4 linked regions of the Drosophila melanogaster genome follow. The protein of the gene in region 3 binds, or shares a complex with, the protein of the main gene of each other region. Each region holds a gene or a part of one and is shown on either strand. Other genes may lie near its edges.

Evidence for each region.
Region 1: MED23 (region 3) and MED19 share a complex: the UniProt entries of both Drosophila melanogaster proteins name them as parts of the mediator complex.
Region 2: MED23 (region 3) and MED24 share a complex: the UniProt entries of both Drosophila melanogaster proteins name them as parts of the mediator complex.
Region 4: MED23 (region 3) and MED26 share a complex: the UniProt entries of both Drosophila melanogaster proteins name them as parts of the mediator complex.

What each region holds. Positions count from the first base shown.
Region 1 is NT_037436.4:17,842,494-17,848,266, forward strand, and holds MED19 (mediator complex subunit 19), read right to left. Parts: upstream 4,009-5,773; 5' UTR 3,699-4,008; coding exon 3,261-3,698; intron 2,402-3,260; coding exon 2,287-2,401; intron 2,222-2,286; coding exon 1,761-2,221; 3' UTR 1,232-1,760; downstream 1-1,231. Other genes in the region: CG5567 (uncharacterized protein), read right to left, coding at 1-64, 782-923; CG7430 (uncharacterized protein), read left to right, coding at 4,704-4,745, 5,054-5,581, 5,645-5,773. UniProt on the Drosophila melanogaster protein: Component of the Mediator complex, a coactivator involved in the regulated transcription of nearly all RNA polymerase II-dependent genes.
Region 2 is NT_037436.4:8,189,565-8,198,058, reverse strand, and holds MED24 (mediator complex subunit 24), read right to left. Parts: upstream 6,790-8,494; 5' UTR 6,671-6,789; coding exon 6,581-6,670; intron 6,538-6,580; exon of another isoform or gene 6,488-6,537; coding exon of another isoform or gene 5,733-6,487; intron 5,646-5,732; coding exon of another isoform or gene 5,051-5,645; exon of another isoform or gene 4,943-5,050; intron 4,870-4,942; coding exon 4,783-4,869; intron 4,725-4,782; coding exon 4,567-4,724; intron 4,498-4,566; coding exon 3,655-4,497; intron 3,588-3,654; coding exon 3,227-3,587; intron 3,170-3,226; coding exon 2,352-3,169; intron 2,213-2,351; exon of another isoform or gene 2,209-2,212; coding exon 1,584-2,208; 3' UTR 1,486-1,583; downstream 1-1,485. Other genes in the region: NEDD8-conjugating enzyme UbcE2M, read left to right, coding at 438-537, 616-917, 1,176-1,319; CG7387 (uncharacterized protein), read left to right, coding at 5,051-5,645, 5,733-6,487; Atg18a (Autophagy-related 18a), read right to left, coding at 7,791-8,008, 8,090-8,217. UniProt on the Drosophila melanogaster protein: Component of the Mediator complex, a coactivator involved in the regulated transcription of nearly all RNA polymerase II-dependent genes.
Region 3 is NT_033778.4:22,886,757-22,895,697, forward strand, and holds MED23 (mediator complex subunit 23), read left to right. Parts: upstream 1-2,171; 5' UTR 2,172-2,257; coding exon 2,258-2,296; intron 2,297-2,358; coding exon 2,359-2,452; intron 2,453-2,506; coding exon 2,507-3,471; intron 3,472-3,529; coding exon 3,530-3,616; intron 3,617-3,671; coding exon 3,672-3,874; intron 3,875-3,926; coding exon 3,927-4,303; intron 4,304-4,363; coding exon 4,364-4,538; intron 4,539-4,594; coding exon 4,595-5,083; intron 5,084-5,141; coding exon 5,142-5,468; intron 5,469-5,527; coding exon 5,528-5,751; intron 5,752-5,809; coding exon 5,810-5,892; intron 5,893-5,948; coding exon 5,949-6,096; intron 6,097-6,165; coding exon 6,166-6,823; intron 6,824-6,884; coding exon 6,885-7,025; intron 7,026-7,083; coding exon 7,084-7,393; 3' UTR 7,394-7,669; downstream 7,670-8,941. Other genes in the region: asrij, read left to right, coding at 3-492, 551-777; Gmer (GDP-4-keto-6-deoxy-D-mannose 3,5-epimerase/4-reductase), read right to left, coding at 870-1,037, 1,094-1,651, 1,710-1,824, 1,879-2,003; CG3700 (uncharacterized protein), read left to right, coding at 7,709-7,961, 8,027-8,240, 8,304-8,919. UniProt on the Drosophila melanogaster protein: Component of the Mediator complex, a coactivator involved in the regulated transcription of nearly all RNA polymerase II-dependent genes.
Region 4 is NC_004353.4:785,571-791,303, forward strand, and holds the start of MED26 (mediator complex subunit 26), read right to left. Parts: upstream 3,409-5,733; 5' UTR 3,325-3,408; intron 2,045-3,324; exon of another isoform or gene 1,882-2,044; intron 1,640-1,881; 5' UTR 1,577-1,639; coding exon 1,511-1,576; intron 1,457-1,510; coding exon 622-1,456; intron 1-621. UniProt on the Drosophila melanogaster protein: Component of the Mediator complex, a coactivator involved in the regulated transcription of nearly all RNA polymerase II-dependent genes.

The sequences.
Region 1 (5,773 bases), on a different chromosome or scaffold from region 3:
CCCTTCAACTGGTTCATCACATCCACAGAGCCCTCCAGGGCCTGGCCATAGATCCAAAGGACACCTGATGTGAAAAAATGGATTAATATTGTAGAAGAATTTTCTTAAAATTAAAAAAAGAACGGTGCTAAATAGGTTCTCACTTTGTAGTTGTTAGTTTTATTAATGCCATTGCTAGTTTTATAAAGGGCGTTATTGATTTCTCAATATCTACAAAAAGTATACTCATATTGTTGGTAATTTATTTCTAAAATTGATAAATTAATCATTCAAAGGCAAAGAGGACAGTTTGAAATTAATTCCAATTAAGTAAATTGGTAACTTCGCAAAGATACATAAACGAAAAGAAATAAAAGCTGTTATGATTAAAGAAGGCATTATTGCATAAAATTAATAAATAATGGGGTTGAACACAACTTTTGATATTGCGTATATAATAACGATTTCCTTGAATTGATAAGATTGTCTAATATTAATAAACTTAGGGCTCATCACTATGAGCATTAGGGAATTTATCAAACGGCTCTTTACTGCTTTACTCTTTACTAAATATAACGATGATTAACAAGATATGAGGGCATCCGAAAGTCGACTTCCCGCCATATCACGCACTTCACTCTTTGACATTGAAATAAACGACGCAGCCACAATACAGAAACTATTGGCTGCTGACGTATTTGGGCAGAATGTGGTATACACATATCTTTATGTAACGCAACTTCCTGGGGGGAATCCTGGGTGGGTGCGAGTTAGTAGTATCTCATCCCCACCACCGACTTACCATCGCAGTCGGTTATTACACTGTCGAAGCCTGCTAGCCACTCGGTCACCTTGGCGGAGGATAATTCCAGGAGATTGGTGCACGACTGCTTGTACATGTTGATAGCTGCCTGTCGCGAAAATCTGGCGAAGTTACAACTCATCTATGGCTTTGCAGCGACGACTATCTTATACACATCACTTTTAATTTATTAATTGACTCTCGATTGCGAGAAACTCCCTGAGAATTAAAGCAGCTGTTGGCGCCTGTTAAGGCTATGTTACTATCTGTCAGATTTCAGCGTAGCTGTTAATGCGCCATGTTAAAGTCAACAGAGTGCTAACAAGTGTTTGGCGCCAAATTTGAATTTAAGGGCTCCTTGGAAGCAGAACTTCTGTGCAACAAATGCTTATATTCGAAAAATGAACTAAGCTCCCCAAACTATTGTAAACACACACTTTGATCATTTTTATGCTTGTTTATTGTTTTATGTGCCTAATCACTAAAATTAATTACTTATAGTACAGGCATTTTTATTTTGTTGAATCTCAGCTTTCTTTTGTGTTTATAAACTTGCTGGAAGAACAAACCATTGCAGAAATTTAATTGAAATACTGACCCTACACACGTTACAAGGTTGGTAAGCAAATTAAAGAGGTTGCAAAGCAGCGTTTTTGTGGCGGCGTGGCGAGGGGTGTGTTTGTGTGGAGGGAAGAGCTGGAATCGAGAGCGAAAACGTTCTTGCGTTTTGTACCATAACTTGCGTTTAAATAAATCTCATTAAGCTAGCGCGAAAACGAACGAAAAATTGTTGGCTAATTACAGAAATAAACTATTTTACATTTACAATAATCATAAATTAATAACTAGGACACGAAACGATATCGAGAAAATTGCATGTAGAGGACCGAGGCCCTCTGCGTTTTTTTTATGTTGCCATTTGGGGTGCGTCTGCTGATGAGAGGTAATGAGCCAAGTCTATTTTGCTAAAGGATCCTGCCTAAAACTGCGACATAAGCAGACTCCCACCGACGCCGCCCCCGCCACCACCTCCTCCTCCGCCGCCGCCACCTGGACCGCCACTAGTGCCCAGCACAGATCCCAGCAGACCGCCACTTGACATCTGCTGTTGCTGCATGGGCATCTGCTGTTGCTGCTGCATCTGCATCGATGAGGAGAAGCTATTCATGTTCCCCACAACGCCAGGTCCCATACTGGCACTAAGGCTGGACAGCCCGGGTCCTCCAGGTCCTCCTCCCAGCGATCCCAGACTAGTGGCTCCCATTACACCCGCTGCTCCGCCCAAGCTCGCTCCTCCGGGCAGCAAGCCCACGCCCGGTTCGGGGCTCTGGTTTTTCTTTTTACGCTTTTTCTCCTTTTTGCGCTTCTTGCGCTCCTTGTCGTCCTCATGGCGTTTCTGCTTCTTGTGCTTTTTCTCGTAAGTCTCCAGGCCGGCCGAGTCTGCAAGATGGTTATCATTGGATTATGTGTGATCGAGTTGCTCGATAATTCAGCAGATTGCTTACCGAGCAGCGTGGATTCCTGTCCCGTGGTCACCCCGTCTTTGTGTTTTTGCTTTTTGTGTTTGTTTTTGTGTTTACGCGCAGGTGTGACATATGTGGTACGATACTGTTCCGGCAGCTGAAAGGAGCACCAGAATCGGATAAATTAGCAATGTGAAAGTGCAGAGGAAAAAAATAATATATTTTATGCAATTTGTTCTAGTAACGATTTATCCATTGTTTGAAATATATGACATGTAAAAAATATTTCACGAAACCTTTTAAGATGAATTATTATTATTATTAGATTGCATATAGGGTGAAAGAAAACTCTCAATAATATTAAATGCCAATATTTCAATAACAAGAAAGGAAGGACAATCCGTCAACAAGGAAGGTTAGTTTTTTTTTTTTTTTTGAATATCATAATATTAAACCATATGGCAGCAATATGAATTAGTGGCCTAAACTGGCGCGTTCTGATTTATGCACTACTTGCAACAAAAATTTAAAACTGAAAGAAAACGGGCAGGCGGACATGGCCTTATCGACTCAGCTGTTCATATAGATCACTGCGTTGCGAACTACTGACTTAATATACACTGTTCAAAAGAGGTTTAAAGGGAAAACCAACATTTACACTCTTGTTAATTTAAGTAATTTTTGTGATTAATGACTAAAATATTTGTGTTTCAAATTTGTTGTTGAACATAAGGAAAATGAATTACAACTCTAAAATACTACGGTGATTATAGAAATAAGTGACAGAAAAGGTGCGACCAAATAACACTTTATAGTAGATCAGTCTGTGCAAGGACACTTAAATCCAAATTTCATATGCAAATTTTAAAAAGCGAAATTAATGCATGCAAATGTATAGAGACGCAAAGCATTGAATAGCGTCTAAATGTATTCTAAGATGTTCAATGTGCCGTATCTAAAGATTCGTCATTTTTCAAACTGAGCAAGCGAATTAAAAGCATATTGGAAAAACCAACCGGTCCGGGATGCAAGCGGAATCCGGCCAGCTGCACGGGAGTCAGCGGAAGAAGCTCCTTTCCACCAATGGGCGGCTTTTCGATCACGCTCCGCAGCGTGCTATTCTCCACGGGATGCGTGATGAGGTCGTTAATGCCGGGGATGTTCTGCAGAAACGAGGCCAGCGACTCCTTGAACTTCTTCTCCTTGAACTTGGTGAGTGTGTGGTGCAGTCCGTACTCGGTCATGAGATCCTTGTCGCCGGTAAGTTCTGCCTTGGCGGGTGGTTCCTTCATGGAGTAAAATGGCCCCGTGTGAATGATCGTTGGCGTCTTGCCCAGCGAAATGGTCGTTTTCAGGGTGCCGGATGAGTCTTGACGGGCCACCACGGGTGATCGGCCGCCGCCGTGGGGCGATGACTTCGGTGAGTCCATCATGTTGCCGTAGTTGCTCATCATCTTGGAAACTCAGCGATTCTCTTCACTCTTGGCAACCCACGCACACAATCGCACCGCACCGCACACGCTCACGCACACAGGGGCACAGCAACAAGGCAAGGCCAGCAGAAGGTGTCGCCTGTCGCGGCTCTCGGGCAACGCTGGCCAAGCTCACACTCTGCAAAATGCGCCGCGTCTGCCCGGCACTTCGGCTGACTCTTTTCTGGTCGAAAACTGAACTAATTATTTGCTCTTGTGGCGTTTTCTAACAGATTTCGGGGGCAAGTCTCGCCATCTTGTTGTGTCCGCGAACCAGTGTGACCGCATTGCGACAGCTAGCGAAATACTGAGGCTTCAACGAAAACGCGAGATGAACGCGACGTGAAAATACCAAAAGTGTTGTGGGAAATATCCCAGATGGGGAATACCACACAGGGTTGTACTGTAGGGCAAACTATCGAATATTCATCGTATAATACATTTTTAATTACCTATAGATATAATAAAGTTAATATTACTTTGGAACTCTTATTATATATGTATCGTATGTACGTTGAGTTATATATTTTTAAAACAGTTATTTTACAGTTTATTTATTACAGTTTATTTTATACGTACAAAAACATTAATTAATGGGTGCCAAAACTATAAAAGCCGGCTTACACGTATAGTTGGCTTGTTTTTAGGTAGCTTTTGCTACAACAAATGACCCATAAAGTGAATATTGTATAAACTAGCAATTGAGTGACGGACATATCGTATTTTGAACGATCATCAAGCTAATATTTTTATACACATCTTTTTCATACGAAAATGTTTTAGAATTTCAAATTCCAACAGAGTGGAAAATCACCAAAACAATCGATAGCATCGCGGCCATCATATGACCACTATCGAATGCACATCGCCAGCCCTGCGACCGCTCCGAGCCCCACAACACGAAAAACAGTCGGAAAAACACACATCAAACTAGTGTTGTGTTTGTAGTTAAATAACGATTATCCTCATAACTCGCCCGCACCAGCCATGCAATTCACGCTCCGTCATGTTGTTTCGGCAGTAGCCAAGGTAAGGATCGGGCGACATAACCGATTCCCCAAACGCCATCGCCCCTCAAGTTATGCAATCTAACCTCACCGAGGGGGTCGAGAAATGGGCAGGAAAAGGCTGGAAAATGCACTTGGATCACCTGCAGTGCTCATATGATCCCGGTGGGTGATTCACTGGCGTTTGGGGATTTGTTTGGCCCCGTTTTCAAGGTCGCTAATTAGGCCAATTATCAGCTGATAGTCGGCCGAAGATTAGTGCGAAATGCGTGCGACTGGCGTGATAAATGATAAGGTGCCACAACATGTAGTAATCTGCCGTCTTTACAGACTCCTCTGCGCACCAATGCCGCCATTCTGGGTGCCCTCAACGCCCGCTGCTACTCCAGCACCCACGAGGCGGACATCGTGGTGATTGGCTCCGGACCCGGTGGCTATGTCGCCGCCATCAAGGCCGCCCAGATGGGCATGAAGACGGTCAGCGTGGAGAAGGAGGCAACTCTGGGCGGCACCTGCCTGAATGTTGGCTGCATTCCCTCAAAGGCGCTGCTGAACAACTCCCACTACTACCACATGGCCCACTCCGGTGATCTGGAGAAACGTGGTATTAGCTGCGGCAGCGTTAGCCTGGATCTGGAGAAGCTTATGGGTCAAAAGTCCAACGCCGTGAAGGCTTTGACCGGTGGCATTGCCATGCTTTTCAAGAAGAACAAGGTCACACAGCTGACGGGCTTCGGCACCATCGTCAATCCCAACGAGGTGGAGGTTAAGAAATCCGACGGCTCCACGGAGACTGTCAAGACCAAGAACATCCTCATCGCCACCGGCTCGGAGGTTACCCCCTTCCCTGGCATTGAAGTAAGTGCAAAACCTCTACAGCGCGCTTGATTACTAATGCATGCCATTCAAAAACCTTCACAGATCGACGAGGAAGTTATTGTGAGCAGCACTGGCGCCCTGAAGCTGGCCAAGGTGCCCAAGCATCTGGTTGTCATCGGCGCCGGTGTCATTGGCCTGGAGCTGGGTTCGGTATGGTCGCGTCTGGGCGCT
Region 2 (8,494 bases), on a different chromosome or scaffold from region 3:
ATATATTTAAAAAAAAAAATTATGACGATGATTTTCAAATATATTACGACACCGGTTGCATGTCGAAAATTTAGGTTTTAAAATTTTCTTCGTTTCGAAGTATCCAAACTTGGCTTGAATCCCGCTGAATCCGAAGTCCGCTTACCAGCACTACGCAACAACTATCGAGCAGACTGTTATCGGGTGCAACCATCGATTAATTACACATATCGCTGGGCAGAAACAAGGAAAGGATAGAAAGCACTCGAAGTGATTTTTTACATCAGTTCTATTGTTAACGGTAGGCCAAAGATTCAGTGAAACAATTGCCCTTAAACCACTGACATTTCAAACAATGCAACCTGTCCCTCAAGCAGCAAAAGCCCCCCAGAGAGCCAGAAACTTTCGAGCACAGCCAAACGCGGAAGACGAAACGCCAGCGAGACGAGGACGCCAAGATGATTAAACTATTCACGCTTAAGCAGCAGAAGAAAGACGGCGAGCAAAAGGGCAGTCAGCAGAAGAAAGCGTCCGCCGCCCAGCTGCGCATACAGAAAGGTAGTCTCCAATCCAGCACCTGGTATGATCAACTCTCGCTTATTACTTATCCATCTTGGGCTGTTTTCCTCCCCCCAGATATTAACGAACTGAACCTGCCAAACACTTGCGCCACAGACTTTCCCGATCCCAATGACTTGCTCAACTTCAAGCTTATCATCTCGCCCGACGAGGGCTTCTACAGAGACGGGCGCTTCGTGTTCAATTTCCGCGTCGGATCCAACTATCCGCACGAGCCGCCCAAGGTGAAGTGCGCCACCCAGGTGTACCATCCCAATATTGACCTGGATGGCAACGTCTGCCTCAACATTCTGCGCGAGGACTGGAATCCAGTGCTGAACATCAACTCCATCGTCTATGGCTTGCAGTTTCTATTCTTGGTTTGTATTTCGTGATTTGTGTTATTTTAGAGGCTATACGCTTTGTTCCATAAGTCTTGATCAACAGCCACAGTTTTCAAGTTACAATTGATTTTTTATGTCTTGTTTTGTGAACAATTGATTTCTAAGTGTGCTTAATTGAACGCCCACTGAAACAATTCAATATAAATGTTTGTTTATACCACTTAACGATCATTATTTCTATTTTTGTTATTACCCAAGCCAACAGTATTACTAATCCAAATTAACTGCTTCCAGGAACCCAATCCCGAGGATCCGCTCAACAAGGAGGCGGCCGACGTCCTGCAGACCAACCGCCGTCAGTTCGAGAACAATGTAAAGAAGGCGATGCGTGGTGGCTGTGTGGGCGAGACCTACTTCGAGTGCTGTCTGCTCAAGTGATATAGGGAATCGCAAGGTCTCTTACTTTAAGCCTGTCCATACACCTCCCCCTACACCCGCTAACTGAAGAAGATGAAGCAAAACACAGACGAACATCGGCGACAACAAATTATTGTAATAAACGAAAACAAAATCCACTGCGTGCAAAGAAGAAGCCGAGTCAAGTCACCAATTTCTAGTTTTTAATACAATTCATTTAGCAATTTCGCCCACCCGTCTCTTAATCATAATCGGCATACCCAATGTGGCAATCATCCAAATCCCTCACAGATGAATGCTGTGCCTGGCCATCTGCATATTTCGCCACAGGCAAAGATCAGACACAGCGGACAGTCTTCCTGCCTGGATTCGCAGATCGTATAGTCTGCTGATGAGACCCACTTTTATGTCGTCGGTGACCAAAACTTTCAGGAGCTGTTGCACCAGGCCGTTGGGCAGCAAGCGCAGGACGGGAGCGACCCTCTCACCACCGCATTCCACCAGCAGCGAAATGAACTGATAAACAAAAACGGCCTTGGGCGACAGTTCATCTCCACTGACAAACTGCAGGAACACTGCGAAAATGTGCTGCACGCTCGTCTGCAGTGGTTCTCTTAGAGTAAGCGGCGTAGTCCGCAGTTCAGATGTGGAAGTGGAGCCCAATAATGCTGCCAGGCCAGCTCCGGTCGTAGTGTCCGTAAAGTCGCTTGAGTTGTCGCTGCCATCGCCAATCACCTTGCGCACTTTGGCTGCATTGGCCGCCAGTTCCTCGTCATCGTGAGATCTCGATCGCTTCTTCATGGCCGTCAAAGCGGAAGTGCCATTTCCTTTGCGGCTCTCCAGGCAGGAAATAATACAGTAAACACAGAGGCGGGCCAGTACCAGGGATTGGGGCTCATTAATGTCCTCACTAGAAAAAAAAAAGATTGCCAAATTGTGAGTACGAGTTCTATCATAGCAGTTTCAATTTTTACATCCTTTCTTGCTAAATCGATTCGATTTGTAGATAATAAATAAATGAAATAATATACAGAAGAAAATATTGGTATTTACCCTTGTCGTCGCAGTATCAGTGGAGCCACCACGTACTGGAGCAACGCCTCAGTGGTCTTCTCAATGTCGAGATGCATTACGGCAAACACAACGTCCATGGTTCGCGACATATCCCTTGTGTACTTGCAGGCCAGCAGTTGCTCCACCAACTGCGTGGACAGCCACGCCGCGCCACCGGCTAGCAGAAGCGACTCCAACGACTGAGCGGCGCGAACGGGCAGGTGACCAGCATCGACTACTGTTCGCCACACCTCCCGAAACTGCTCGACTAGCGGGGAATGTGAAATGAGGCGGGACTTGGTACTTGGGGCAGGATGCACATCGTGTTGCATTTTTCTGATAATCTGATAGGAGAGAGCTAGTCGCTCCTTGGCATTTTCCTGGCTGGAAAGCTCTTCGCTGGTCAACGGAGCCAGGAACTGCTGAATCATGTTTAGTGGTTTCAGAAGTTCCGTTTCCTTCACCGAATACATGTAGGCGCATAGAAAACTAGTGGCGCAAACGGAAAAACTGAAAAGTCTTCTCTTAATATTGTCCAGAATACTTTTAACGTCCGCCGAGGATAGCGTTTCCTGCTCCCAAGCTATTAGCACATGATGAAGCACTCCGGGCAGATTAAGGCAAGTCTCCTGCCAACTTAAGTTGTTTGGCTTAAGTTGTGATGCCTCTGGTTTACTGAAGCTAAGCAAAAGCTCGTCGACAATACTGTCATCACAGAGGGCAAGAATTTGACGCGGATTCTTAAGCTTATTCCTTTCCACCATGCACTCACGCACCCATTTTTCAAAAAATGAGTCACCACGCTCAGATAAGACCACCTGAAGTAAAATAGAATTCATTAAAATTGCAGCGTAATAACAGGCGGGTTTACGAACATCGGATCCATAGGTCTGCACAATGCTTGTCAACATTAGGAAGGAAACATCAAACAGAGTGGACCGGATGACGCATAGCTTGCCCAGGTCGCCCGGCACCGGCTTGGAGTTCTCATTGCACTGGATCAGACGCGATACGAATGTCTTGAGGCGTCCCTCGACGGTAGCCACTGAAAGAATCAACTCGAAGCTGTTGCCCACCGGCACTTGGCAAAGGACATTAACCATGTCCTGGACCTTGTTGGTGCACAGCGTTTTTAGTACTCCGGAAAGCGGAACCTCTGCGCGCTTGATGAAGTTTATATTGGAGGGTGTCTGTTGGCCATTGTCGCATTTTTTGAGTAATTGAGAGGCGGCTTCCCTGAAAGAGTTCGTTTTAAATTATATAATTAAGATGGGTGTACAAAATGCATGATTTCTCGACTAACCTTTGACTGGCGAACTTCTTTACGTGGACATCATTGACTAGTTGTTGCTTGGTCCAGTCATTCAAAAGGAACTCGATCATATTGCATGAGCACTTAGTATCCATGAAGTCTAGCAGCAGATTGTCCTCGATGAGCAATTCCAAAGCCTCCACCAACTCGGGTATGTAATCGGCCGGTGGTGGTTGCTCCCCGGGAATCCGTTGCAGGGCGTGCAATTGCTTAATGATGTGCGGCATTTTAAAGAACATAAAGGCACCCCACATAGTGTCAGGACTTGTATCCGCAACATTGCTCAGCGTGAGGAATCCAGCACGGATGATTTCGTAGAAGAGCCGTGTATTGGAGTATTTCTTTAATCGTTGCAGCATCTGCAACTCAGCCACGTAGTAGCTGGTGTCCTTGCACGGATTGAGAAGCACTTCCACCGCCAGTAAGGGTTGCACGCAGCACGAGATCTTCTCGAGTGTTGACGGCGGATTAAGTGGTTGCATTTCAAGATGCTTGGCTTCTATAAAGGCCAACTGCTGCAATTGCTGCTCCACTTGTGGTGCATTTAGCGTAAAGTTTGAGTTCGTCAACGATCCCTTGATGGTAGCGTACTTATCCCGAATCCGTCCACATATTTCGAGCTCTTCGTGACAGCCCACGTACAGCATAGACAGCAGGAACTGCTGCTGGCTAAGCCGATCTATCACCACGCAGGTCTGGTCCAGCATGTATGATTGCTCAGCACTAATCTCACCATACAGTTCATAGTGCTGCACAGTTCTGGCGAAGATTTGAAGCAGCCAGTACACCAAGTGGACGACGGAACTCGGTAAAACCGCTTCCTCAGATTTTATTCTGGAAATAGAAATGAACAATTATTTTTACTCCTGCTTTTTAACGACTTATAAAACTAAAAGGACTTACCGGCAGGTAACGCCATCCACGATGCTGGCCAGGAATTCAAGGAGCGCTGTAATGCAATAAACGCGCTCTAATTTGTCATATTTGGCAATGCACCGAATAACAGCAGCGTGAGAAACGAGATGGGCGCACAGTGAATGCTTCAGGTAGTTAAGAACCAACTGAAAAGCATAGATTACAATTTAGAAAACAATCTAAATACTCAGATCAACTACTCACCGGATTAGCCGTGGAACCAATGAGTGCCTGCTGCATCAGACAGTCAGCCAGATTGTATACATCTCCACTGACTCCTCTCGGCAGCACCTGAAATAGTAATCAAGGGAAAGACAATAATGAAACATTTTCTTTTCCTGTCAAACTTTAACACAATATCTGGGTCACAACCCCATAAAATAAACAGAAACAGAACCACTTAAAAATCTAGTTAGGATTTCCACTTATATAGTTAGCACACATAGTTGCATATTTCGTTACGCGATAAAAAATGTTTCGTTTAAAATTATTTCGCAGTCCTGGAGACGTATTAAGCACTTTAATTAGCGGAGCTGCAACGGATTGCTGCAGGAAGACGTCACATTGTTTGGAGTTGGATCGCGCTCCCGCTGTCGCTGCCTGCTGGATCTGTATGCGGATGATCAGTCAATATCAGTTCAGGACCACGAAACCAGCCTACTATCCAGATCGCCAGCGGGAGGCGAAGCGAACGTCAGCGGGAGCCACGCCTCAACAGGTGTCATCTCCGGCTGTTAAGTACCCGCAAAGCCGAGGCATGCCCAAGGACTACTACTACAAAGTGTTAGGCGTCAACAGGCACGCCACCATCCAGCAAATCAGATCGGCTTTCTATGCGCTGGCCAAGCGCTATCATCCCGACTCGACGCACTCGGAACAAAAGCTGAAGCACTTCCAGGAGCTGTCCAACGCCTACAACATCCTAACCGACGAGACGAAGCGCTTGGAGTACGATCAGCTGGGCGGGATTAAGGATGAGCGCGCTTTTCTTGAACAGGCGGGCAATCCCCTAAATGTGGGCCTCGAGGAGGCCAAGAAGTTCGATTCGGATAAGACGACAAATGATGGTAAGCAGACGGATTTTAGATACATCAAACACCATTTCACTTTTCACTATATCACGATATGAACACGATCCTTGAATCGCCTTCTAGAGATCAACAAACTGAAGAGCAACGAGTTCGATCTGCCACTTGACTTCCTTGAGGCGACAGTGGGATGCAAGAAGCGGATAGAGCTGCGCTACTTGCGGAAATGCGAGACCTGCAAGGGCAAGTCACAATTGATGGCGCATCGGGATGTGGGCAAGGAACCCTGTCGGCGATGCAATGGAACTGGAAAGGTCATGACCAAAACGCCAACCTTCTCATCGGTGAACACATGCACGCAGTGCAAGGGCAAGCGATTCACAAATCGCAACGACTGCGAAACATGTTCGAATCGCGGCTTCGTGGTGTCCAATGTGGATGTGATGGTATCGGTGCCTTCCGGATCCCGGGACGGTGATGTGGTGAACATTATAAATCCGGAAACGAAGCAGCAGGTCACCTACCGCTTGTCGGTGCCGTCTAGCGACTATTTCCGACGCGTTGGCAATGACATTCTAACCGACAAGCACCTAAACATCTCGGAGGCCATTCTGGGCGGATCCTTTCAGATACGGGGTCTGTACGAAAGCGTGGAGCTGCGTGTGGAGCCGGGCACCCAATCCCACACCCAGGTGGTGCTCAATGGCAAGGGGGTGCGCTCCAGGGAGGGCGTGGGCAACCACATCGTCACGCTGAAGGTGCGTATACCCCGGAATCTCTCCGTAAAGCAACGCCAACTGGTTTTGGCACTGTCCCAGGCAGAGGATCCGGTTTTCGAGCCCAAGACTAAGAGCACGGAGGCGGGCAATTTGAGTCACTAAAATTCTCAATGTACCGGCCTCATTGCGTTTACAATATATTGGTAAACACGAACATTGATTGTTTGGTGTGTTGATTTGCTTGGGTTGCCTTGCCTTTTTTATGTTGATGCCCCACTGGGAGTCCGTCCAGCGCTCGCGCCACGCCACATAGATGAGTTGGAGGATCTTGTTGTTCTCCTTCATCTCTCGCGTCCGTGGAAGTAATATAACTTTTACTTTTCTCGTATTTCACGCAATTTATTTTATTTAAACCTAATATATTTTTTAGCAGCGCTCAGTGTGACCGAGGTATCTTTTATTAATCATACCAAAAGAGTACCATAATTTTCCCATCCTACAGTGTTGAAAAACACACAATCTTAAAATTTGTCGCCAATTTTAAATATTTTGAAAATTTTGTTTTTGCAACGAGGAATTTAGCCAAATAAAGGAAATAATATTAAAATATATTTTAAGACACCGAAAAGGCACCCACAAACAAATTTTAATTCAAATAATTTATTGAATACAATAAAGTAGCGTATGAGTTTCATTTGTAAACTGTTTTCATTTTAAACATTATGTTCTAAAATATTTGACTTTGTACAAAATATATTCTATTTATATATGCCGAAAATTGTTCCTCCATTGCACGCTCCGATTTTTTGAATTTCATTTCACTCATCGTGTCGCTAGCTGAATGTTAAATTTTAAATTGAATATATAATATATATATATAGGTGTGGTGTATGTGCTTAATCCGAGATATTTCGATATGATTAAACAATAGCTAGGCGAGAACTTTACATACAAATCGAGTTCGGTGGATTGTCAAGGGAAGATGCGCGAGGACTGGAAAAATAAAAAAATTAAAAACTAATTTGCAAAGGCCGTTTATTTTGTATAAAAAGCTGGCAACTCAAATATCAAAGCGAATCTGTAAATCCGTCTAAATTATTAATTAACAACTAACTTAGGAGTGTATGACAAAAGCATTTCACATTCCAATGGCAGCGCCAGGAACGGAGGCTTAAAACTAAAAAATGTTTTGGGTAGGGAGAGGCCGTACAAAGGAATATTGGCTGGTACAAAACGAGGAAGAATCATCGCTGACAACGTTAAGAGCTAAATTAAGTCTATGACCTATTTATTTACTTAAATACGCTTGACGCCACAGAGCCACCGTCGTTTATTCATCATCATTATCGCCGCCGCCAGTCGCCAAGCATCATTGTAATCACTTTAGCATCATCGTCCTTATTACTTTGAGGAGTGAGTTTCGTTTACCATCGCTGCATCTCTCATTTTTGATCATTGACCTTGTCTAAGCGGATGAGGGTCCCACGGGATCGTCACCCTTCACGGCCGACGCATAGGAGCTACTTGGTTTGTCGACACCACCGGTAACAGAAACAGCCGACTTGCCATCACCGCCACTTCCACCAGTGCCTGCTCCGGCTGCACTTGCACTGCTCGGCGGAACTCCAGCTGCTCCGCCAATGCTCACGCCACTGTTAAGGCCTAGAGTTTGAGGTGAATCAACTAGAGAATTTGTTTCGATTGTGGGTTTGGTTGGGATGTGTGTAAGTGTGAAGTGTGTGCGAGAAGCGAACAGTTAAGCACCTTTGATATCCATGGCATAGTGGTCCTCCAGCCGCAGGTCGTGCCTCTTTATTAGCTGGCACTCTGCGCCCTCGACGGTGGGAATGGAATACACGTACAAGTACCCATCCTGCGAGGCAATCAAAAGTCTACAAATACAACAGAATGAACCGTTATTTAGAACTTGAAATAGAGGCAGGGTAATCAGTTTGTAGTTCAATTTGCACGTGATTCAATTTTTGTTTTATAAACCTTTATGAAATGTACTAGGCTACTTTTGCAAAGAGCATATTAATTACATTTCAACAGAGTTCAGGGAAATTCAAACATATGAAGCCAGATAAAGTAGGTAGTGTAAATGATTTACGCGGAACAACTGCATTGGTATCTAGAACTCAGATTCCCTACCTGAGGTATTAAGCTCGC
Region 3 (8,941 bases):
AGGCGGACTATCAGTTTTCTGCGGAGGAGGTGAAGGCGTTACGTGAGTGCAACACTGAGTCTTTCTTCCAGCGCAGCCTGCCTTTCGGCACTGGACTGGGCCTGCTGGCCTACTTCGGCGTCAAGAACGGCTATTTGCAGGGACACGTCAAGTACGGCGCCGTGCCCAAGGTCGTGATGGGCGTCATTCTGGGCTACTTTGTGGGCAAGTTCAGTTACCAGCAGAAGTGTGCCGAGAAGATCATGCGCCTACCCAACTCCCATCTGGGCGAGCTGCTGCGTCAGCGTAGACAGGGCGGCGGTGTCATCAGCTCCATCACACCGGACGAGAATCTGGGCAGGGCCTTCACTCTGGCCCCCTTCTCGCCGAGCTCGGCGGACGTGTACAGCGATGAGGCGTATCAGCCCGGGAGGAGCACTTCTCTCAATCTGGACACGGAATCGCGCCCTACTTTGTCCGGCCTTGACGACATCTACCGCCCCACCCTGGACTGTAAGCTCATCTAATTCTTCGCATTCCCTATTATGATTCTGTACATTCTCCTTCCCAGCAGCTGGTTCAATGCTGGAGGCAGAGTTGCCCTTGGAGCCGTCTAAGCCGGGCCAGTCTTACGAGGACCTGCGACGAAGGAACCGAGAAGAGTATTCGAAGCACCAGCAGAGTCCATACTCGCGACCTTACGAACCACCAGTTGCCGTTCAACAGCGACCCGTGGAGCAGGCACAAAGTGAACCCGCTGGAAGGAAGAACCAATACGGCGACTCCTGGACTGATTAAGGTATTGTTATTTTGTTGGACATTAAACGCGCATAAAGTTCTGTGAAAATTCGTTGTCTATTTACATTTTTTTTTGGGGTTGGAATATTCAATTACTTTCTAGCCTGGTCGTAGTTTTCTATGTACCACTTAACCGAGGCGTTGATTGCCGTTTCCAAGTCCGTAAATGCGTAGTCTGGCAGGAAGGAGCGAAGCTTGGCATTAGACGCAGTCTTTTTGTACTGTCCATCCGACTTGCTCGTATCACAGACCAGTCTTCCCTGGAATAAATCAAGTTAATATCTTGCCTTGTCTCAAATTTCGCTTTTTAACCCACATTAAAATTAAATGCTTTTGCAACGGCTTGGGCCACCTCGAAGATCGTCACCTCCTGCACTTCGTCCGCGCTTAGGATGATGGGCTCCACACTTTCGTAGTTCCTGAGCACCCAGATCATCAGCTCCGCCAGGTCCCGGGAGTATACAAACTGCCGTAGTGGCATGCCGCTTCCGAAAACGGTGAACACCTTGTCGTTTTCGGGGACGTCAGTCTTCTCCGTAACCAGCTGGTGCATCCTATAGATCATGCCCGGAATAACGTGGCTGACCTCTGGATTATAGTTGTCGTGGGGACCGAATATGTTGCACGGAATGACCGAGGTGTACACCCGGCCATATTTATCGTGGTAGGCGTGGTTCTGCACGTCTATCAGTCGCTTTGCGTAGGAGTAACCATAATTGGAGGGGTGCGGCGGCCCATTGTGCACCATGGTCTCATCTATGGGGTAGCTGGTTTTGTCCGGAAAAATGCATGTGGACAGGCAGGACACCACCTTCACGCATCCCTGCTCGTGTGCCGTTTGCAGGACATTGTCGTTAATGAGCAGGTTGTTGCGCTAAAAGTGGATTCGCATGAAATGGGTTTTGGAATCATCTGTGAGACCAGGAGCTCACCAAGAAGTCCAGGTTGTTGTTCATGTTGTGGAACAGGCCTCCGACCATTGCAGCCAGATGGATGACATGCGTGGGCTTCTCTCGGGCGAAGAGTGCCTGCGTGGCGGCCAGATTTCTGTGGAGAGAATTTGTTTACGGATACGTTCAATTGAATTTCTTCATGACTTACGTCAAATCTGCATCTTTAGAGCCCGCAAAAAACCATTGCTCGTCCTCTGGGGACTGCTCCTTGATCACAGCCTCCAGGGCCTTGCCCACCAGCCCAGTTCCGCCTGTAACCAGAACTTTCTTCATGATTTTTGTGCGATTCCACAAATCAAGTCAATTAGTTTCTAAAGTAATTTTCGACTCAATGCGACCAGCTGCTTTAAATGCCGGCTAATCAGTCAGTGCTGCCTGCCTGGCGTTTTTAATCTAATCCTTTAGCTATTTCTTGTTATCAGAAAAAGCCACTTTTAGATTCTTTACTAAGCCCCATTTGGTCACACTGTGCCCAGGTAGTTTTTGTTTATGCGGTGTCGGATATGCGAAAAATAATTTAAATGGATATGGAAACGCAAGTTATAGACACCGTTAACGAGTTTCTGGTAATAGTGAAACCCTGCGTCTCCAAAAAATCACCCACTCATCCACGCTCTCCATTTCGCAGAAGGTCGACTCCCTTGACGAGGCGTTCGTTAGCGTCATTGTATTCAAGCCAAACACCGAGCAAGAACGAGCTACCCGCTTCGCCAATGATTTGGGTAGGTAAATGCGTCTGCTGGAACTCGAAAATTGTTAAAAACTATCTGTTTCAGTTACCGCCTTTGGGAACGTGGCGCAGGAGAACCGGGAGCAGGTGCTTCGGCTCTACCTGTTGCGTGCCGCCGGTGCCTCCGGATATCACATCAAAGTGCTGATGGCGGCACTGGTGAAGCTGGTGGACGCACACGTGATCACCGCCAGGATGCTGTGCGACAAGGTGCTGATGTGCGAGAAACTGGACTTCGAGCACAGGACCTTCTGGATCGAGAGCTTCCGGCTGATCAAGCGTGTGATCGTCCAGGTGGACTACAAGGGTGTGCGCGAGATCATGAAGGTATGCCGCGACAAGGCACAATGGTTTCCGCTGAACGTCAACGTTACCTACATGCCACAGCTACTGGCCGTTGAGGATATCCTGCGATTCATCTTTGATCGCAACAATTGCCTGCTGCCCGCCTACTTTATTGCCAACGAGATTATGCGTCCGTTTCCTTACCACTGGAAACTCAACCGGCTGATGACCGACTTTGTCGAAGAGTTCCGCACCACGGCACAAATGGTTTCGATCATTGGACATGCCAGCATGCTTCCCATCGTAGAGCATTTCGGCTATGCCGATCACATGATGAACTCCTGGCGACTGGACCACAATACCCTGAAGTTTAACTTTAAGGGTAGCCTGCCCTACGAGCCAGAGCTGCTCGAAGAGCAGAAGCCCCTACTCCGCTACGTTTTGGAGCAGCCGTACTCAAGGGAAATGGTCTCTCAAATGCTGAACCTGCAAAAGCATCAGAAGCAGCGCTACAATGCCCTGGAAGAGCAGTTGGTTAATCTCATAGTGCAGGCCATGGAGATGACGGAGGCGAATGATGCCACTGCGGGAAGTGGCTTTAACTCCTCAGACGAGCAGATCACGCCCTACGAGTGGATGTGGCTGCATCTCTCTTCGCAACTAATTTACTTTGTGCTCTTTCAGTTCGTAAGCTTTATGCACATAGTGTTGGCGCTCCACGAAAAGGTAGGTCCATGGTGGATGAAATTAATATTTCTTGTAATTAACTACTTTTCACCTATAGCTTTCCAAGTTGGAGCTTCGCAAGGGTCGCGATCAACTTATGTGGATTCTGTTGCAGTTTATATCCGGAAGCATACAGAAAAATCCTGTAAGATCCTGTTCTCCACCTGATTGATCTTATTTTTAATCGCTTTTAATTTTAGATCACCAATTTCCTGCCTGTGTTCAGATTGTTTGACCTACTATATCCCGAGCTAGAGCCTCTTAAGCTGCCAGATATCAATAAATCCTCGATGGTTCGCCATATGGCACCCATTTGCGTTTGGATTCACCTGATGAAGAAGGCACGAGTGGAAAACATGAACATCACCAGACCATTGCCAATTGCACTGAAAAACCACTACGAGTAATACCTCTAACTTCCTTTGGTGTTTAGATACTAACTGCTTAATTCCCAGCTTTCTGCAGCACCTAGTCACGGCTAACACCATGATGAACATGACGCTAGGAAACGACTTCCGCATAATTCTCATCTGCAATGCATACTCAACGAATCAGGAGTACTTCGGGCGTCCCATGGGTCTACTGCTGGATGCCCTAAATGGCACTTCAAAATCTCCAAACGGTGGCCAAATCCCAGCCGTAACTTTTTCGGTCACGGTTCTGGACAGCTTGACGGTGCACAGTAAGATGTCGTTAATCCACAGCTTCGTAACTCAGATGTTAAAACAGGCCCAAAGCAAGGGTCAAGTTCCAGCGGCTGCACTACTGGAAACTTATGCCAGACTTCTGGTTTATACAGAAATCGAGTCGCTCGGTATAAAGGGATTCCTGAGTAAGTACAGCCTGTTGAAGTGATTAAACAATATGTTTATGGTTTTTTTTCCTCCTAAAGGCCAACTGATGCCAACAGTGTTTAAGAACCATGCGTGGGCCATGCTGCACACCTTAATGGAGATGTTTTCGTACCGGCTGCACCATGTTCCTACTCACTACCGGGTCCAATTGCTGTCTCTCCTTCATTCTCTGTCCTCCGTGCCGCAGACAAACAAGATGCAGCTCAATCTCTGGTTAGTTATACGTTTATCGAGTATAGACTTCTTTCTAAGTTCTTCCCTTTGTATAGTTTTGAATCTACTGCACTGCGTCTGATCACCAGCATTGGATCCGCCGAGTTTCAGCCGCAGTTTTCGCGTTACTTTAACGACAAATCTCCCGGAGCAGTGGCGTCTAATGAGAGCGAAGAGCTAAACAGAGTACTTATTCTTACGCTAGCTCGATCCATGCACGTACATGGTGGCGGCGATGAAATGCAGGGATGGTGCAAGGACTTCCTTTCCAACATCATTCAGCACACGCCGCACTCGTGGCCCATGCATTCCCTAGCCTGCTTTCCGCCCGCCTTAAACGAGTACTTTACGCAGAACAACCAACCTCCGGAGAACAAGCAGCAGTTGAAGAAGGCCGTGGAAGAGGAATATCGAACCTGGACGTCGATGACCAACGAGAATGACATAATTGCGCACTTCTTGCGTCCAACTACGAATCCTTTATTCCTTTGCCTTCTGTTCAAAATAATTTGGGAGACGGAGAACATAAGCCCAGTGGCTTACAAGTGCGTAACATTATGATTTAAACACAATCATTTTTTCTGACCATACCTTTTTTTTTAGAATTTTGGAGGGTATAAGCGCGAGAGCCTTGTCCACTCATCTGCGTAAATTTTGTGACTACTTGGTGGCTGAGGTAGCTAGCTCATCGGATGGCCGCGACTTTATTCACAAGTGCGTCGACACCATTAACAACATGATTTGGAAGTTCAACGTTGTGACCATCGATAGGGTTGTGCTTTGCCTGGCTCTGCGAACGCACGAGGGTAACGAGGCTCAAGTCTGCTTTCTCATAATTCAGCTGCTCTTGCTGAAAGCCAGCGAGCTGAGAAATCGTGTTCAGGAGTTCTGCAAGGACAATAATCCTGATCACTGGAAGCAGAGCAACTGGTAAGTTGGACACTTGATTTTGTTAAGAGCACAAAGGCATAGTTGTTATTATTTCTCAGGCAGGACAAACACTTGTCATTCCATCAAAAGTATCCAGAGAAGTTCGCGTTGGACGAGTCAGCTTCACAGATTCCGCTGCCCGTGTACTTCAGCAATGTCTGTCTGCGATTCCTTCCCGTTCTGGATGTGGTAGTGCACAGATTTATCGAACTTACCATTACAAATGTCCACCAGATATTGGGCTTCATTTTGGATCATCTGAGCATACTCTACAAGTTTCACGGTATGTTAAAAGTGGCTTTCGAGAATTTCATAACTTTAAATTACCCTTTAAATTGCAGATCGACCTATAACATATCTGTACAACACCCTCCATTATTATGAGCGAATCTTACGAGACCGCCCTGCGCTAAAGAAGAAACTTGTAAGATTTGTTATGAATATTATATTCCCTTCTTCTAATACACTGTGTTGTTCCAGGTTGGCGCTATCACCAGCGCCTTTAGCGAGATTCGGCCGCCCAACTGGAGTGTTAGTGAGCCGTACAAGGTGTATTTGCAAAGCCAAGACTCGCTGTGGACCCCCGAATTGAGCTACTATATGAGTTTGATCAGGAGACTTGCAGACAGTAAGCTAGGATTTGGGAAAATACTATGATGTGTTCATATATTCATGCGTAACCCCTTTTATTTTGCAGCAATTAGTGGGAAGAATGTATTTTACTCCACCGATTGGCGTTTTAACGAGTTCCCGAATGCGCCAACCCATGCGCTCTATGTGACATGCGTGGAGCTGCTGGGTCTGCCGGTGGCACCGCCACTGGTGGCCAGCAATCTCATCGATGTTATAGTAAGCGGATATGCGGTTATTCCGCAAAAGGACATTCACAGCTACATTAATGCTGTGGGCATTGTTCTGGCTGCCTTGCCTGAGCCCTACTGGAGCGGCATATACGATCGCCTACAGGATATGCTCAACACACCCAATATGCTGAACTGGACCTACAGATTCAATGCTTTCGAGTTGTTTAACTTCAAGACAGTGCGTGAGGCGATGCTAGAAAAGACCTACGCCGTGGTGTTGGCAGTAGCTCACTCAGTGTTCCATCACATGGGCGCCTTTAAGCTGGCGGCAATGACCAGGTACCTCAAGGAGAAGCTAAAGCCGTGCGTGCGAACCGAACAACAATTGCTGTATTTGTGCCACGTTTTTGGCCCCTTCCTGCAACGAATAGAGTTGGAAAAACCGAACGCTGTGGCTGGCATAGCCGTGTTGCTTTACGAAATTCTTGAGATCGTGGACAAGCATCATGGTCCGAAGCCTCTGCAGTACATGGACCAGATCTGCGATTTCCTGTAAGCAAATCCACAAAATCGCATGAAAGGGTACTAAACAAATGTGTTTGTATCATTTCAGCTATCACATTAAGTATATACATGTGGGTAATATCATTAAGAACGAATCGGAAGCCATCATTAAGCGGCTACGGCCCCTGCTGCAAATGCGCCTGAGGTTCATAACCCACCTTAACTTGGAGGATATTCACACTGAAAAGATGTAAGGGCCATTTAATTCAAACTCTACTTCGGTTTAAACATAACTTTTCCAATTTCAGCAACGACAATACCAGCAATAATGCAATAACCAGCCAAACGCAGTCTCCAATGCAAACACAGCATCAGCAGCAGCCGCAGCAACCACATCAGCAACAACAGCAGCAACAACAACAGCAACAGCAGCAGCAGCAGCAGCAACAGCAGCAACAACAGATGCAGCAGCAACAAATCAACGCAGTACAAACAACCAGCGTTCCCTTGGGCAGCGGTGGCAACCTACAGCAGCAGCAGCAAATCAACCAGCAGCAACAAATGTATATGCAGCACATGCAGCAGCATCAGCACATGCAAAACATGCGCCACAATTAGACTTTGTGGGACTCCCAAGTCAGTTCAAGCTGACATAACGACATAAGCCTAATTTATAGTAGTATTATCTTATATTTTATCGCTTATTGCATTATTCATTTTCCATTGAATGTGTAAACAGTTCTCAGATATGTTTAAGTTAGATACTAAGGGAACTTTTTGTAAGTCACAGCTGTCGGCCCAAGTCCTCCCTCCAGCTTTACAATCAAAAGCTTGACTTAATAAGCCCAGCTTAAAGCTCTTCGTAGATAACCTGTAGTTGGTGATCTTGTCCACCTCGAGCGCCGTTCTCAGTTGTGATCGCAGAGCACTGCGATGTATGCGCTTCCGGGAATCCAGATTCTGTTGCTGATTGCTTCAGTCAGCGTGGTGACCGAGTACTGCGACAATGGAACGGGCGAGTGCAAGGAGCTGACGCCCTCCGACTGTCCAGTGATATTCTACAACCAGCACCTGATCGGAGCCGAAGTCAAGTACTGCGACGAGTTCAACGACATTGTCTGCTGTCCCATACCGCTGGATCACCAGAATCTGAAGCCAGCCGAACAGACGAGGCCTTTTGAGAAGCGTGAGGAGTGACTGCAACAATTCCCTTCGATTGATGGAATTTGAATATTCGTTTTTTTTTTTTAGAGTGCAAGCAATACAACGAGGTCAGATCCGCCTGCCAGTCCACGCCCTTCATCGTGGGCGGCACAAAGGCATCCGGTAAAGAGTTTCCCTTCATGGCCCTAATCGGCACTCATCGGCCCAACAAGTCCAAGTCGGACATCAATTGGGATTGTGGTGGATCCGTGGTGCATCCCAAATTCGTACTGACTGCGGCGCATTGCCTGGAGACGGATGAGTAAGTATTCTCTGGGATTCTCTTGAGTGATACTCCTTCCATATGTGTACTTTTAATTGTCAGATCGAAGGCCGAGCGACTGGACCCAAACTTTGATTCGCCCAAATTTGTAGTTCGCCTGGGGGAGCTGGACTACAACAGCACCACCGATGATGCTCTGGTTCAGGACTTTCGGGTGGTCAACTATGTGGTGCACCCTGGATATGATACTGAAGACGAAGAGCAGGGCTTTAAAAACGATATTGCCCTGGTGGAACTGGATCGGAAGGCTGAGTTCAACGACCATGTGGCAGCGGTATGCCTTCCGCCAGACAGCGGCAACGATGTTCAGCAGGTCACAGCCGCCGGCTGGGGATTTACCGCGGACGGTGTGAAGTCCTCGCACCTGCTGAAGGTCAACCTCCAGCGATTCAGTGACGAGGTGTGCCAGAAGCGCCTGCGTTTCAGCATCGATACACGCACCCAGTTCTGTGCCGGCTCAATGTCCAGCCAAGCGGACACCTGCAACGGTGACTCCGGCGGACCTATATTCGTCCAGCATCCGCTCTATCCGTGCCTGAAGCAGGTCATAGGGATTGTCTCATATGGATTAGTTTGTGGCTCCCAAGGACTCCCGAGTGTCTATACCAAAGTCCACCTCTACACCGACTGGATCGAGAGCATCGTGTGGGGCAATTGACAGTTAGGAGTCGTAATATAAC
Region 4 (5,733 bases), on a different chromosome or scaffold from region 3:
AATACAAAACATTTTTGAAAAGTGTGGCAATTTGTGGGCGTTAGAGAAGCGTTGGAGATGAGAAAATCCAATTGCGTTATAAACACCCTCTGCACTGAGCTCAAAAAAGCTGGAAGCTGAAAATATTCATTTTAAAGAGGTGGGCTAAAGAAATTGGTTATTTAAGTTATTGGTTTTTTAAGTGCGGGCAATCGAAAAAAAAAATTTGTCAAAGGTTTTCTTAAGGGTGGGAAAACGATAAAAACTAATAATAATGGTTGGGCAAACGTTTTTTATTGATAATATTTAGTTTTAAGAGATGGTCAAACGCTCTATTCTCTGAATAGACCGAGATTAACTTGAATGTCTTATATTTTCTAAAGTATACGTTTTTTCAAAATTCAAAAGTGTTGGCAAACGATGTTATTGCAATTTAAAATATAAAATTTTTGAAAAAGTACACTTTTTGATTATCGAACTTTTTTGAAAATTCAGATCTCAAAGACTGGACGTGGACAAAAAAAAACTAATTGGTGGGCACACGATTCCAGCTTTCAAATTTCGAAAATTCCATTTTTCCGAACCCAGCTTCTTTGAGCTTCTGCAAGGATAGACACAAAGACAAATACAATTGAATCATACCCGAATCTGTTGTCAGAGCGGCCTGTTGAAACCCGTCGCTGGCTTTTGCACCAAATCTTGTATTTGTTGCGACCTGTCCTTCTCTTTCCTTACTTCTTTTTTCCTTTTTTAATTTGCGTTGCCGTGAGCTTGGTGTAGATGGTATTGGAAGTGGCGCAGGAACAATTGAGTTTAATTTTTTTGGATTTAACGAACCGTTATTGTCATTCTCATCGGAATCCGAAGCTATGTCAATAACAACTGAAGCTTCGTTTATCTTCACGGTGCTGTCATCGGTCAAGTTAATCACGGAATTTACCGAATGATCTATGACGATGGGCTGAGGAGAGGCCACGTGGCAACTTCGGATGGAATGCGAATGTCGCCGATCCTTGTGAGTATGCAATGTCGTTATAGCGATGTTTTCGTGGCGATCGCTATCTTTTATACTATTTACAAGGTTGGAGAAGTTCGGATGAAGTAGGGTATGTTCACCCGAAAGCGGAGGCTCCGCAGAGTCGATATTTGAATGCAAATCTGAAACTATTTGCTGCGAAGGAGCAATTGGTTCTGTAATAAAGCTGGTGATAGGGGACTTAACCAAATCTAATGCTGGTTGTGAAGATGAAATTTGACTGGGATGTGCCAAATTTTCAGTGGCTGTTTGCTGAATTCCTACCATTTCCCGCCACTTTTTCAGCAAGGATTTTGCACGTCGAGCCAAATGTTCATTCTTAGTCCTTCTTCTGAGCTGATTTATGTACTTAGCCAATCTGGTGGCCTCCAACTGCTCCTTGGTGATAGTTGTACCCTCCAATGCACATATGACACAGAGAACTGCGTCCATATTGACGACCTGAAAAGATCTTTACATTAACTGATTTGTTGATAAGGTAATACGTTTTCTTACATCGTAGTTTTGATCAAGTGCCTGGGATAGGTGAGTAGTAAGTTCCTGTATTTCGATTTGGTTCATTTATATCTTGCGGTGCGTAAATATTGCCCTGATCCAGATTCAAGGGACGGCGAAATGCAAATACTGTCCAAGTTAGAAAAATAAGGAAAGTAATAGAAAAGTAAGTAGTAGGTAGAAAGTAAAAAGTTATAGTGTATTCACTTCACGTTGTTGCAAAATAAATACTATTATAAATAGCCGTAAAATTGCTATTAAGTAAAGTTTAAAGACCCAGAAGTTCAAAAATTTTAATACCCGAGTTAGTAGCGTGTCTGTGAAACACTCATACCAATACAAAACGTGTATTGCTCAATCGTTATGCTTACAAATATGCACACTTCGAATGTAAAGTCTGTGCTTCCTGAGCGCACTTCCTTGAATATGAAAATTTGTATTTGTCCAAAATAAGGAAAATTAATAATTTATGGTTGACTTCCCGACTTTATTACAATTCGCCATTTTTACCAATGACAGCTGCACTTCAAGGGTGGCAGAAAATCGATAAGTATTTAACAATTATTATCGATATACTTTCACGTGAATTTCTTTTAACAGGAAGGCCTGATCATACTGCTATCAAACAGAATTGAAGAGGAATTGTATTATATGTGACATGAAAACCTATAGGAGTATTATATAAAGTAAACGTCCATTTTTGGGCTAAATGCGTGAATCTCAAAATGAAAAAAGGGTCAAATATACCAGACCAGAAAATGAAGGTTTTGTTGCTTTGTGGTTTGGATATTTTCCCGTTGTCCTATATATTTTGTAAAATATAAAACGATTTCGTAGATTCTCCGTCCAGTTACCCGCTTTACTTAATATGGAGAATATTAAAATATTGTTTGTTTTTTTACCCTTAACTTATTTTATTCGGACTAGCAATGCCGTTTTTTTTTTGTTAAGGATATATAAAGATTCTTAAACTCTTTCATTTCAATGCGAAATATTTGAAAAAAGTGTGTATATATAGGATTTGTACAAAACAAATGCTCTCGGTGTTCTTCAAAAACAAAAAACAAACAAATGGCTTACAATTACCAAACCCCATAACTTGGGTTAAGGGATCATCTCACAATTGAAAAAAAGTAAACTATAGTACTATCCTTCAGCACCAAAATCGAGTATATATTTTTTTCTTATTGCAAAACCTTTGGAAGCCTTTTGTATATAAGAATATATTTTACATTTAATAAGCAACAGAAAAAGAATATGTTTAATTTTTTATATTCACATTTTACCACAGCGGCTTTTTTTTTAATATGTTCTATAATATTATTCTTATTCTGAACCTCGAGCAGAAGAGATTTTATTGACCTTCCCGTCTAAGAACTGAGCTACCCCATGCTTATACTGTGTTTCCGTGTTTGACAAAAACCAAAACTGACTGTGTCCATATATATAGTGTAATTGGAATATAAACGGTTAGTAGTACTAAATTAGGAAGAATGCTTGTCCGATCCGTTCACACTGGTAACGTTAGAATACCGGAGAAAAACTATTATTACTTAAAATGCTAATTAAGTTTAAAAAACATTTTTGTATTTCAGTACAATAATAAAAAATTTAATCATCTCCGCTAGTGAGCAAAATTCAAATATAACGACAGTGACTCTTCTGCATATAAACTTGAGATTTGCAAAAATATAGATGCATCAACTTCATAAATTCACACTTGGCTGGTTTGTCGCTCTTACCGAAATATCCTGATATATTCCTTTTGCACATACATAAATATACTTATATTATATGTCGTTTTTAATACATACCCCCACATTAATCACACTGCACATGGTCTATTCAAAGCCATATAAATAACAAGATGCGTAACGGCCATACCAAAGACACTAGAATAACAAGATGCGTAACGGCCATACATTGGTTTGGCACTATGCAGCCACTTTTTTGGTGACGGCCAAAATTGCTCTCTTTCCGCTCGCTCACGCTGAGAACATAAGAAATCTAAAAATAGAATTTGCTTGCTTGTGTGAGTAAAAACAAGAGACGGGAACGCGTATATGTGTGGGTGTTGTGCTAGAAGACGATTTTCGGGCCGAAATCAATTCTGATCAAAGAAATGAATTTACATTGTACATATTAGGGTAGTTTTTTGCCAATTTCGTAGCAATATGATGAAATAAAATAATTTTTAAAAATTCGCGCCCTTCTTATTATAATTTTAAAATTTTAATTTTAATTTTAAAATTTTTTAATTTTAAAGCTTTTTAAATTCGTTTGTTAAAATCGCCGCTCGAATTAGCTACCGTTTACATATTTATATTTATGTTGATAATTATTTATGTGTAATATGTGTAATAGTCGGTACCCAGGGAACACTACGGGGAGGCCATTACAATTGTAATGGGGTCTTATATTTACGTATATGACCTTCGAGTCGACTTGAAATATTTTAATGTTTAACATTAAAACATTTCCATATTCCCCAATTAAGTTATTTTTCTAACTATTGTTTTTTATTATATATTGCTCGATTTTTCAGTCGTCAGTTATTTAAATAACGCTCATTTTTTTTATTCATGAGATAGAATGCTGAGCTTAGCTTGCTTTTTTTGTCTATCAGCTATCACAGTCCACTTACAATGCTTAAAAAGCAAAACTTTTATAAGTTTGTTTAAAAGATCTGTTCTATGTGCATAACATTCATTATTTTCATAAAACCATAATGGGAAGGCACTACTTTCATTTGTGCACTTAATGCATTGCTCAACAATAAATTTTTTTATACACATTTGTTTTTTATTATTTTTAAAAATATTTTCGAAAGCTTTAATGTGTATTTTGTAAATATTAAAAAATAAATCAGATGGTGCCCTTAATTTCCCGAAGTCCGATTCTATTGAGTAGTTTTTCTCATGTATAAAAAGCTCTGATGGAGCTGTTAAATGCTCGGTTTCTTTTAAAATTACCGATCTGCATTTATCGCAACTGGATCCCTTAGCAATATATCCAACAAAATATCTACTGGAAGTTAATTCAATGGGTACATCATTGCACAAAAAGTTATCTATATTTTGGTCAAAGTACCTCTCATTGTCTTGCACGATTTTGGAAAATGATACAGAGTATTCTTGTTGCTGTATTTCTTTTTTTTCAACGAAAGGCTGATATATTATCGAATCGAACTCTATTGGCAACATAACATCATCATCTGATTCGCAATTCGACTTTTGTGAAAATTTAAAAATGTGTAGAGATATGAGCTTGGCAATTATTATATTAAATTCGTTAACTGAAGGATTTCTGCAGTTACCACCTTTTGCTCGAACGCACGCAAATATATTTTCAAGGGGATCCTGGTTAACTCTACTAGTTAAAAAGAAAAAGTGGTCTGTGTGATCCTTAAAGAGATCTTCGACGAGTCCAAATATAGCTTCAGTAGTTTGGATCAAGCCATCAACACAATATATTTTATTCCCGTGATATTTAACGCTCTTTAGGTATTCCTGCATTTCCTTTAGTTTGTTCCAAACTCCATTGTTAACTTGGAGCGCGCATTTCATGGGGTTTTTGTCAGTTAATACTCTGCTATTCAGGCAATCAAAGTAATCATTATCTTTTTGGACAAATGCAGCCGTAGAAGCTGCAACTTCGGAACTATTTCGATGTAATTGCTTGTTTTGGTTACAAGTCTTAATTGCCGCTGCAACAGTGTGGCTAAGTGTTTGAGTTGCCAAACATACGCGCATTAGCTCAAATCTGGTTGGATTAACGTGACTCCTTGTTAATTTAGTCATTCTCGTTACTGATCCATGATCTAATTCGTAAACCTCTCGAATGACATCAAAGTCAACTAGTCCGTCAGGGGTTTCAAAATTAGCTCTTAGAAAATTATTCCTTACAGACTTGAAAAGATGCGGAATGTCATAAAACATATATTTTTTATTATTTAAGGTAAAGTAAGGTTTCTCATTGGTGACTTCAAGTAGTGAGGTACATTTTCTATTGTTACCTCCTTGATCATACACAACACCCCTTACTTTGAACCCAATTGTTTCAGCAATAATAATATTTTTATAAATAAGACTTTTTAAGCAATCGCCTTTTATATTCGTTTCGGCCACAAAATAGTTTAAAATAAATTTCCATTTTTTTAAAATACCCCGAAGAACAAATACGCAAATATGGCTTCCGATTTTATTAGAGCGATCAAGTAAATG